Drosophila melanogaster: one gene and its partner. The protein of the gene in region 2 interacts with the protein of the main gene of each other region in a pairwise test. Each region holds a gene or a part of one and is shown on either strand. Other genes may lie near its edges.

Evidence for each region.
Region 1: the proteins of CG31955 (region 2) and sqz interact in a two-hybrid assay, tested with the Drosophila melanogaster proteins (one large-scale study listed by BioGRID).

What each region holds. Positions count from the first base shown.
Region 1 is NT_033777.3:19,162,179-19,170,211, forward strand, and holds the start of sqz (squeeze), read left to right. Parts: upstream 1-2,032; 5' UTR 2,033-2,738; intron 2,739-5,666; 5' UTR 5,667-5,856; coding exon 5,857-6,210; intron 6,211-6,390; coding exon 6,391-7,644; 3' UTR 7,645-8,033. Other genes in the region: Nsun5 (Nop2/Sun-like domain containing protein 5), read right to left, coding at 1-60. UniProt on the Drosophila melanogaster protein: Transcription factor involved in neuronal fate specification. First required in embryonic CNS development to define the number of cells that express apterous (ap) in the ap thoracic cluster of interneurons.
Region 2 is NT_033779.5:3,711,381-3,714,675, reverse strand, and holds CG31955 (uncharacterized protein), read left to right. Parts: upstream 1-1,809; 5' UTR 1,810-1,893; coding exon 1,894-2,178; intron 2,179-2,230; coding exon 2,231-2,407; 3' UTR 2,408-2,450; exon of another isoform or gene 2,451-2,522; intron 2,523-2,607; 3' UTR 2,608-2,795; downstream 2,796-3,295. Other genes in the region: CG2818 (uncharacterized protein), read right to left, coding at 1-29, 185-583; cutlet, read left to right, coding at 3,058-3,295.

The sequences.
Region 1 (8,033 bases), on a different chromosome or scaffold from region 2:
AATCTTGGCAGTCGCCCTGTATTGGGTGGGAACTTTTATGGAATGCGGTTTTTTACTCATTGTCGTCACGTGCACGTGTATGTGTTGTTTGCGCTAGAATAGGTGCAACCCCAATCACGACTTTATCGATATATGCTTATCGAATGTCAGGGCTGGAGATAAGCATGTGGCGTTTGAAACAAATCATATTGTTATTCATGTTTTGAAAATATCTACAATTAATGTAAAGGTTGTTCTAATTTTGCCAACGATAACTACAAAACATATATGTTCTATCCAATATATTTACATACAGGGTATCAAATTTACAAATAAATTGGCAGTGTGGCCATACGTTGCGAGCAAAAATTACTGTACTTCAAGCATTGCCAACACAAGAATATTTTCATGGTTAAAAATTTTGGCGCGATAAAGCCGCAGTTTAAAATGTCAAAGTGTGCGCGTTCTTGGAGGTTTACCAAAATTTAGAATCATGCTTTTATTTATCGTGCATAAGTTGGTAAATTGGAATTAAATCAAGTTTTTTCCAATTTGTTTCTGGTGTGTCGTTTGTTTTGGGGTCTGTACGGCTGCTTTAATTAAAAAATATTAAAATGAAGCACGCTATTCTTTAAGGACTTTAAGGAAACGTACCTTTCTATGTTTGCCCAGGAGTTGATAGACGATATCAAGGCTGAGGATCGCATCCTACAATGTCCTTGGTGCGAAGAACAGACGTTGAGTCCATCAGCCAGCACCCGGAAACTTTTGTATTGGCTTTTAACGCTTTCAATTCGACTTTCAGAAAAGAGTCTCCTCGAAAATCACGACTGATATCCATGTAAATGAATCGGTAGATACTTGCACTTTCTTTTTAGTTATTAAAACTGACACACTGTCACTTTGCAGGTTTTAACCGCTGGCGGAAATGAAGAAGGAATCCGGGAATATTCATTTCAGTCCATTGTGGTGCACAGCGGAACTCCCCTCAGGAACAATCTTAGCCCACTAAACATCAATAAACTACTAAAATAACTTTGACTGCTGCTTAATTTCAAATATACATAAATTAATATTTTTTATTTTTAAGTTAAATTTTTTAATTCTTTTGGAGGCTCAAATTTTATATTTGGCGCAGCACTTTAATGTAGAAAATGTGAATAAAGAAATATTTCAAGGGTAAACAACAAAAAATGTTTTGATTTTGTAAAAAAAAAAACCTTAAAAATTATGAGGAGTTATAAAATAATTATCAGTTTCCGGAACTTTAAAATTCTTATCTTCAATTTGATCTTCAAGACATATTTTTCTTATAATAATATTATCAATAATATTATATAATATGTAACGGATATTTAAGTTCTTCATTTTCTTTTTCAGAAGTATTAACAAATGCATATATATAAATACATATATATTTATACAATAGAATCGCATAGGCATGAATTCAGCGCGCAAAATAATATAATTACAATAACATTGATATTATATAATAGATTATAATAATATACATATGTAAGTGTAAGTTATAAAATGGTAACAAAGTTCAACAGCTCATAGGCGAAGATCCAGTGGCACGGAATTTTCAATACAGCCAGGAGAACATCCTAATATTTTGGATAAACTCTTTGTGCCACTGTTCCGGGTGATGTGCATCATGTCCAGCACGGAGGACCTTATGTACCACTATTGCTGTTTCCTAGATTAGGATTCGCTAAAAGCTTAAATTGTAATTTCAGATTCCCAAAAATAGAAAATACCGCCAAAAGTCAGGGCAATGGCACTGCAGAAAGGATGCAGGATATTATATGTTCTTTTTGTTTTTCTCTCCCCAGAATTTGGCCCAATTAAATTTGGTATTCGAAAAAAAGAGCACGCCTCCTCCCCGAAACCGAAAAAAAACTCTGTGGCGCCGGGAACAAAAAAGAGCGCGAGAGAGTGAGAGCGCACACATAAAAAACATAAACAAGCCTTTTTCACTAGTGTGCGTTTGTGCGGAGAGAGAAGAGAGCGAAAAACAACTTCTGAAAAAAGACGCTCTTCGCTGTGATTTTTTTTCAGTCAGTTTTTCGACGGTCGTGAACACGAACAGTTATTCTAGCTCCTCCTGTTCTGCTGCTTCTGTTGGTGTTTTTTTGCGTTTGCCGCGACGTAAACAACCGAAGAGCGGAGCTTACGCCCCCAACTGCTCCAGCTCCACGCCCCCCTCGCAACGTGTTCGTTGTAAATGCAATTAATCGTTGTTGGTCGCTGAAAAAACTAATATTTCGGGAGTCCGATACAAGAAGGGCAAAAAAGCACAAGTGCAGAAAAAGCAAAAAAAAACATAAGCTTGCCGTGTGTGTGCGTTGGTGTGTGTGTGTATTTTTGGCGTGCGCGGCCATTTTTTCTTGTTGCCACTCGAGAGTCTCTTCTGTGTGCGAAAGAGAGGCCCGACGGCAAAGCAGAACGTAGCAAACTACGCAAATCCCCACTAAATTCGCTAATTTTCGCTAAATAAATCAATCGCAAGGGGTGCCCAAAAACAAACAAAAGTACGAAAATAGAGTGCCGCAGACCACAAACAAATCACCTGCGCCAGTGTGTGTGAGTGTGTCAGTGTGCGAAACAGGCAAGCTCCCAGGCGGGCTCCCACCCACAATCAGTCGGCGAACACGTGCTCCAAAATATCAACAAAAGTTGGCCCACAAACATAAAAAAGGGGGCCGCGACTGCATCCGAGACCCGAACGCCGGAACACAAAAGGCACTTTCAAATTGGTAAGTACTTTGCGCTGCACGAGCATGTTTTATTTATTTGCCTTATTGGTCAAACACACTTGCGATTGCGGTGTTTGTTTCTCTTTCCCGCGCTCACGCACAGTGGTCGCTTTTGTTATAATTGTGAGACTTGAAAACGATCGCCGTAAAATTCACATTTTTAACAAAATATTTACTGTTCGAAAGAGGGGTTTTTTGCGAATCGATGATTAGTTGACGTGTTATTATGAGAAAAACATAAAAGATTATAGGACATTATTTTTTTAAAAATGTTGCAAAAATGATTTAAAGTTTGCGATTTCCTTGTTAAATAACATGAAAGCGTTTACAGTTATTACTATTACAAAATTATAACGATTTAATATGCATATCCTTTATATATTAATTGCTACTTGAAAATTACCTAATGTAAAAACTTATATAAAGCAAATGAATTACAATTTATTTATTGGTTAGGACTCTATATCCTATTTTATAAAAAAAAAATAATAGCACAATTTCCAAAGTGTTTGTCCAGTGTTCCATTGGTCAAATACTTATTGTTTCCTTATTTCCGAATCTTCGCTATTTGGGGAATAAGTCAAAACCTTTAAACTCCAAACATTTGTAAGCCGAATGCGACTGTCAACAAATAATTAAACCAGAATAATTTCAAAAGCGTTTTGCAGTCGTGCCGCACTACTTGACCATTCCGTTTAGTCGCTTGTTTGACTTTTTATGCTCGTTCCCATTCATTTGGTGGCGGTTTTTTTTTCATTTGTGTTTGTGTGTCGATGTCTTTTTATCTTCCACTTTTTTCGTACTCATCAAATATTCGCTTCTTTTTTCGCACACATGTCGCCCCCAACAAAAGAGAGTGAGAGAGCAGTCCGATTGCGGTTGTTGCGCTGTTGTTGTTGTTCGCTCGCTCGTTCGTTTGTTTATGCTCGCTCTTTGCTCTCTTTTGTTTTCAGCTGCTCGCGCTCAATTAATTTTCGTTGATTCGTTTTTTGTGTGTAGGTTTTTTGTGTATACCATTTTATTTATACGCTTTTTGGGCTTCTCTTTCTCGTGTTTTTCTTTTTTGGGGTTTTCTTCTTTTTTTTTTTGTTGTATTTTTGGGGACTGACCGATTGCGTTTATTTATCCCCAATTTCCCCATTTGCATTCATTATGTTGAGCGGTCAATTTCCCGTGTTTCTGGATCTGTTGTTACACGGTTGCGATTACGATTCCGGCTTCTGTTTTATATTGCTCGCCACTTTCGCTTATTTCATATTACAATTGTTTGTTCGGCAAACAATTGTTTGCTTGTCGCCCCGTCTCGCTCTAAATGTGCGCAACAAGCGAGTGGCGCGTCCTTTTATTTTCTGCATTACATGGCCGCCCTCCCCCTCCCCATCTTTACACAGAATTCCTGCTACCATGCTGTTCAATTGTCCAACGTCAGCATTAACAACAACAACAACAAAGGCAGAACCGGTTATTTTGACCAGGCAAAACCAAAAAAAAAAAAGCCAAAAATTGAATTTACCTCTGACGTCAACACCCACCCGACCAAAAGGTCGTATTCAAATTCGCGCTCAGAATACAGTTTCCATTTCACAAGACCTGATTTTGCGATTTATATGCAACTATTTACTTATAATGCGTTATGCACATAAACCAATGTTGTTTAAATTAATTATGGAATACTTGGACATTTTTACAGACATAAATACATGAGTTTGAAAACCTTATTTCGTATCAAAAGTCACGTGTTTTATGCACATTATAAATATTTCGGAGACTTAAAATTAGTTAGTTAAAAGCCAAAACTGAATCCCAATTCGCATAATAATACCGACATTTTCTAGTGAAGATAAAAGCTATGATTAAAGATTTGAGTAATGACTTTTGCCTGTTTATTTGTAATGATACTATAGTTATTTGTATTTGTCAAATTTCAAATTATTCGTATGTTTGCATGAATGCACTAATATTTTATAAATATTTTTAAAACAACGCATTTAATGTTTTTAATTGAGCAATAATTGCGACGCATTGTTATTCAGCGAATTATCAATTATTCATCCCAGCTGAAATATTTAAACGCCCTTAAAAACTTTAAGTTTCATTACATTTTATCGCAACGTATTCTTTTCAAATACGCTTCCGTTTTGATTTAACGAGCAACAACTTCTGAAATAGATAATATATTCTAAGAAAATTGACCATTTTGGCGTAATTTAAAGTAAGATATTATTAATTCTTTTTAACTTTGACTTAATATAAGTTTGGAACACATTCTTTTCATGTGTTTTTTACTGTTGCATGGAAATCCCACATTTTAAGTAATTCATTTGGGATTTACAGACCAAGAACATCAGTGGTCCATTGGAAACCCGGCTGCATCGCCCTAAAAAGTGGCAGAGATGTAGTTGCATTCAGTTCTCGAGGTTGTTGACACGTTCCGTTGGCGCCCCTGACGTTTTTTGCCTTTTTTGCTTTTTTTTTTTTTTTTGCCTGCCCATCGTCACCTGGCCACAGAGTAATCGCGATTTTGGTTCTTCGGGCCAGAATGCGATTCCATTTCGCTTTCCATCTGGTGGTTGTCACCAACAATTTCTGGCCGCAAGCGCCTTTTTTGTTTATCTTGTGATTTTTTCCGTTGACTAACTCTTTTTTGCCCGGCATTGTTATTAATTCTCTGCGCTTTTTGCGCCCCATTGGCAACTTTTTACTGGGTTGCAACAGTTGTGCTTTCAGTCAGTACCTTCTGCGCGCAGCACGTTTAATTCACAAACAATTAATTAATTCATGCATATTTATGTTAATGTGCAGAAATTAATGTACCCAACGGCGGGGAGTGGAGCGGCCAAGTGGCAGAATCGAAAAGTAGTTTAAGCACTTGTGCCGACTGGGCACAAATTTGTGGATTCAAGAATTACAATATTTCTGTACTTTCAGCACAAAAACGCGCCGAGTTGTGTAAGCCCGCCGCCAGTGAAGTGTCGACTTCCCGGCGACGAAGACCGCAGCAATATTTCCACTAGCCAGTAACGCACAGGCTCGTTCCGCCGCTGACGACGACCCCAAACTGGACGCCCGCACCATCGCCTACCGCCCGCTGACCCTTGGCGGCCACCAGACGCCGCTTATGGCCGAACTGCCGACGGCGCCGAACGGCGTCCCCAGCGGCGATTATCTGCACCGCTCCATCGATCAGCTGCGTTCGCTGGGTCATCTGACCACCGCCCAATTGGTTCACGACTACAAGCCCTTCAACATTAGCGAATTCCGGCAGAATGTCGCTGAGCGACTGGACTACTCGCTGAAGAACGGCCTGGTGCAGCACCAACAGCAAATGGTCATGGAGCAGCAGCCACATCCCGATCAGCAGCAGCAGCAGCATCTGCATCACCCGCAACAGCAGCAGCACCCGCCGCAGCTGAAGGTCAGCTACAGTGCGCCCAACTCGCCGCCCACTCCACACGAGCAGCAGGAACAGAAGGTAATCACTTATTTCAATATTGAAAAAATATATCATACGCATATAAATGTTACTGATATGATACTTAAATTGCGATCTTAATATTTCTTCGGTCAAAGATTATATGACTTTGCTTTAGTAACCCATTCATCGTGTACTTAATACTAAACGATACCCTTAAAACGTTCTATCTACTTCCAGTACGACCCGAATCGATCGCCGCCGCGTCAGCAGATGAGCAGCGCTAGCGGCAGTGGCAGCAACGGCTCCTCGCCTGAGGAGGAAAGCCGACGGGGAGACGGTGATCAGGCCAAGCCCTACAAGTGTGGCTCGTGCAGCAAGTCCTTTGCCAACTCCTCGTACCTGTCGCAGCACACGCGTATCCACCTGGGGATCAAGCCGTACCGCTGCGAGATATGTCAGCGCAAGTTCACGCAATTGTCGCATCTCCAGCAGCACATCCGTACGCACACGGGTGACAAACCGTACAAATGCCGGCACGCCGGCTGCCCGAAGGCCTTCTCGCAGCTATCCAATCTGCAGTCACACTCGCGTTGTCATCAGACGGACAAGCCGTTCAAGTGCAACTCCTGCTACAAGTGCTTCAGCGACGAGATGACCCTGCTGGAGCACATTCCCAAGCACAAGGACTCCAAGCACCTGAAGACGCACATCTGCAATTTGTGTGGCAAATCGTACACGCAAGAGACCTACCTTCAGAAACATCTGCAGAAGCACGCAGAGAAGGCGGAGAAGCAGCAGCATCGCCACACGGCCCAGGTGGCTGCCCACCAGCAGCACGTACCGGCGAGCGGCATCGGCTTGAATTTGCAGCGCCAGGCCATGAACGATGTGAATGCCGCATATTGGGCCAAAATGGGCGCAGACAGTGCGGCGGCTTCGCTGGCGGAAGCCATTCAGCAGCAGTTGCCGCAGGCCGGCGGTCAGCCGTATGGCAACTTTGCATCCCTGCAGCAGCAGCATCAGCAACAGCAGCAGGAACTGCTGCATCATCAGCGATTGGCAGACACGCCGGGGCATTCGCATAGTCCTCACGAGGAGGCCGCGGGCGAGGATCTCGTCCTGCGCCAGTCAACACCACAACATCACCTTCAGCAACAACAGCAGCAGCAGCAACAGCAGCAGGCCCAGCAGCAACAACAAGCGCAGCACCAGCCATCGCCTGGACCGGGAAACTCGGCCTTCACTCCACTGTCGGCGACAGTGGCTCCACCGCCACATCTTCAACAGCATCGCGGTCCGCCAGGATCCGCCGCTGCCTATCTGTATCAGCAGAATGCGGCGGCAGCAGCAGCGGCTTTTCCCACACAGCTCATCTCGCTTCACCAGATCCGAAACTATGCCCATCAGCCAGGAGCGGCGGGTCTCATCGCTGGCGATCATCTCGCCTTGGGCCTGAGCGCTGTTAATGCCGCCAAAGAAAAGGCGCAATAGTACAGGCCGTCAGGTCGGGGCCAAAAGAGGCAGCAACGATGACATTAGCTTAGGATCAACGTTTAAGTTGGTATGGATACAAGAGCGTGGTATTTTATTCTCTTTGAATCCATACCAATTGAAACACTGAAAGTAAAATAAGTTACTCATAGTTTCCAGTTGGCAGTGGCATAGGAGCTGGGATTGTGACTGGTTTTTCTTAAGCATCCTTCCAACTTCCAAATTCATCATGAAACTTGTATACGATTCGGCCAAAATCAACTCCATCACTGCCCAAAACCAATAAGAAAATCAACTGCAATCCTACAGTTTCTGTGCTATTTTCAACTGCCATATGAAAGTAATATGTAATATCTAGATCAACTCAGGATTTTAAATACGATAATTAT
Region 2 (3,295 bases):
TGCTCATCCAACTCCTTGACTATTCGGGGCTGTAAGGAAAGGGAATCTCTTAGCAATGTTATTGGGCTAGCTCCAAACCATGAATCCCATACGAGTGCATACAAATCAAATCCGATCCCAGGTCCAGCTGGATTTTTGGACTCTACTCGTATAGGGTCGGTCAGTACATAATGAATTTGTGAACCTGTAATTGCGTTTCCCAACGGCGGACAATCAGCTGCTCCGTGCCGGGATCGACGGCACAGACCATATAGCGATATTCCGTGTCACAGTGACGCGGAATATAGATCTCTCCTGTCCACAGATTACTATACTCATTGTCCTCCTCATTTTTGGACAAAATAGCCGCTCCCGAGTGCTGCCAGTTGCCCAGCGCCTCGCAATTACCCACTATGGCCAACTGCTCGTTGGGCGCCAGATCCTGGTTCATCAGCACCCGAAAGGTCCACAGTCTGTTGGTGGTAATGTCGCCAAAGATCCGGCGGGACTCCAATCGACTGCCGTTTTCCGAGGACGCAGGACAGGATGATGGCGCAGCCATCGCATCCTCATCGCCGTTATGTGAGGCCAGCCAGTTGTGCATTCTGTGGGGATGGATAATAATTAATATCTATATATAATCCTTAGCTATATACACTTTGAATAATAGTAGTTAGCAGCAAAGAACTAAACTAATTGTTGAAACTCAGTATAATTGTATTGTATTGCATGCGCACAAGTAATTTATGCCAACTCTCTCTTTTTTTCGAGTACTACTGTGCTCGTTAGCGTATACGCACTGTACTTCAATTATTTTCAGCTGCGGTCACAAGTTGTTTATTGTATCGAGCGCAAGTAATTCGAAGATATTAACACAACATTAATTTCACTTGCAGTCCGCAATTGTTTTTGGTTTCCCTTATCAGTGGATGACGTAAATAAATAACTTGTATCACTTACTTTGCGTTGTTGTGTGCTGAAATAGAAGAATAAGCCGAAATCGCTTTGTTTGGATTCGATTTCTCGCTCTCCTCCACTTTCTCTCTCTTTGATTTTCCTAGATTTTCTGTGATTTTCCTACGCGTACACGAAACTATAACAAACGTGTGCAAATTGAGGAGTCGCCCGATTTTTTGATCATAGCAGCTGTTTTTGGTTTTTGCTCACGGATTTCAGCTAACAACACATGATGTTTTTCTCTTTTCGTGGCGGGGGGGCTTAACTCTATAATGTGGATATAACTTTATATTATCTGAACGATTTCAGCGCCGCAGGGGCTTCCGATCCCCTTGAAACTGTGAGTTGCATTATTTTGTTATCTATATATCCACTGACCGATTCTAGCGAGGGATGTGAAAAGTATTTGAATGTCAAGATATCGATAGGTTTTTGATGAAGTAAATATTTTCACAATGCTAAATGCCTAAAGCACTTAAAAATAGTAGATGCCTTTTTAGATATATACTACATACTACTTACTTACACGCACTTAAAATACAAGTTTTATATTTGATATTTGAGCGCATTCTCACAGGTTGGCAACGCGAACAGCTGATTTTTAGGGTGACCGTCTTCCGCAACAGAGTATCTCACAGTTTTCGAAAAGTATCTCAGCAATTTAGGCAAAGTTTCTGAACTTTCAGTTACTACTTAATAAAAAGTTTGTTGGTTGTTTACCTAGCTCAAGAGATTCTTTCAGATTTAATTTAATAAAACCGGTAGCTTAGGATTATAAAATTAACTTTGACTTTATTTAATGTCCCTCCCGCGCGAATGCAGCTTAGTAAAAATGAGTCATAGTGTTCAGATCTGCCTACATTCCAGAAGCTTGCAGTATTCAGTAGACATCAGTCGAGCGCAGAAGCTCTTCGTGATAAGACGTCTTCAATTCAAATTTTTTTTATCGAACACACCATGGAGGGGGACAAGGTAGTTTTTCATAGTTCTGATCTACCATACGAATATTTATACGACGACGAAAAACACGTTTCGCACATGCCGGATTCCAAATTAAGTGTACGAAATATTTTGGATTCAGCTTACGCTTCTGCTGAAGGCAAAATTATAACTAGGAAACTTTCGCGCAGCATTCCGCCGTATCCGCATGCTGTTCGAGTAAAAAATGGCATTCGTGTTTATGAATACAGTGAGCCCAGAAAACAGAGCTACAAATCAAGTTTATGGAAGGAGGCCTACAATGTGAGTAGGAATCGAAGAACACATGCTGGACATTTTACTTGCTTTATTTCAGATACTCCACCAGCGGTTGGATATTGCCGAGCCAATCGCAGCAAAGGAACACGTGAGAACGCAGATACATCCGTGTCTGCACAAGATCAAAGGACTTCTAGATCCGGAAACCTGCATCAAGTGTCCGCGGTGTCATAAGTCCATTTCGTCCACCAAAGTTGTGAAAAGCTTTGCATAGTGACGAATGCAAGCCACCTTCAACATATATATCTATTATAGAGGTTCAATATATGCTCAAATCAACACATGCATTTATATATATATATAATATAAACAAAGAATGCAACAGCCCTACAGATGAATCGTCATTTTCTTCTGTCATTTTGCTAGCTGTAATTAAAAGGGAACGGGAAATGTGCTCTCGCTTACTGATTATAGATAATGACTTTGATTTTGAAATAAGGAATGCAAAGAATACTCATTTTCGTATTCACTTCCATTTTGGCGGACTTTCTTTATCAGTAAACAAAGTGGAAGAAGAAGAAACGAGAAAGGTAAACAAGTCAATACAAAACAGTTGTTTGGAAAATGTGCCATAGTTACCAAGTGCCTGCACCAATTTTAATATCAAAACCAATTATTGAAACTAGTTATATAAGTATTTTTATTTACATTCAATGCATTTATAAATAAAATAAATCAAATAATTTAAGCTTACTAAATCAATCAGCTTGTGACAGCCATCACTTTGATAACGATAGTTGGCAACTCTGCCATCGAACAGCTGTTAATGTTTGCCATTTTGGCGCGAAAATACCAGTGTAACAATTTGTTTATATATAATAGGATTTTATTAAGTTGTTTGTTGGACGCTCGTTTGAAACCAGTATGGATCAGTATCCGGACGAAAACGAGGAGTTCGAGCTGCAATACCAAGACGAACTAGAGCTGCTGGAGGACTTGCCGGACGAGTTTAACGCGTACGATGGACCGAGCACATCCAAACAGGCCGCTGAAAAGCAAAAGGAAAACAGAGCTCCCGTTGCGGCACTAAGAGATAGCACCCGTCTTGGAAACTCTACACTGGGATCGCCACAGCTGTCGCAGATTACCTTTGGAGCTAGCC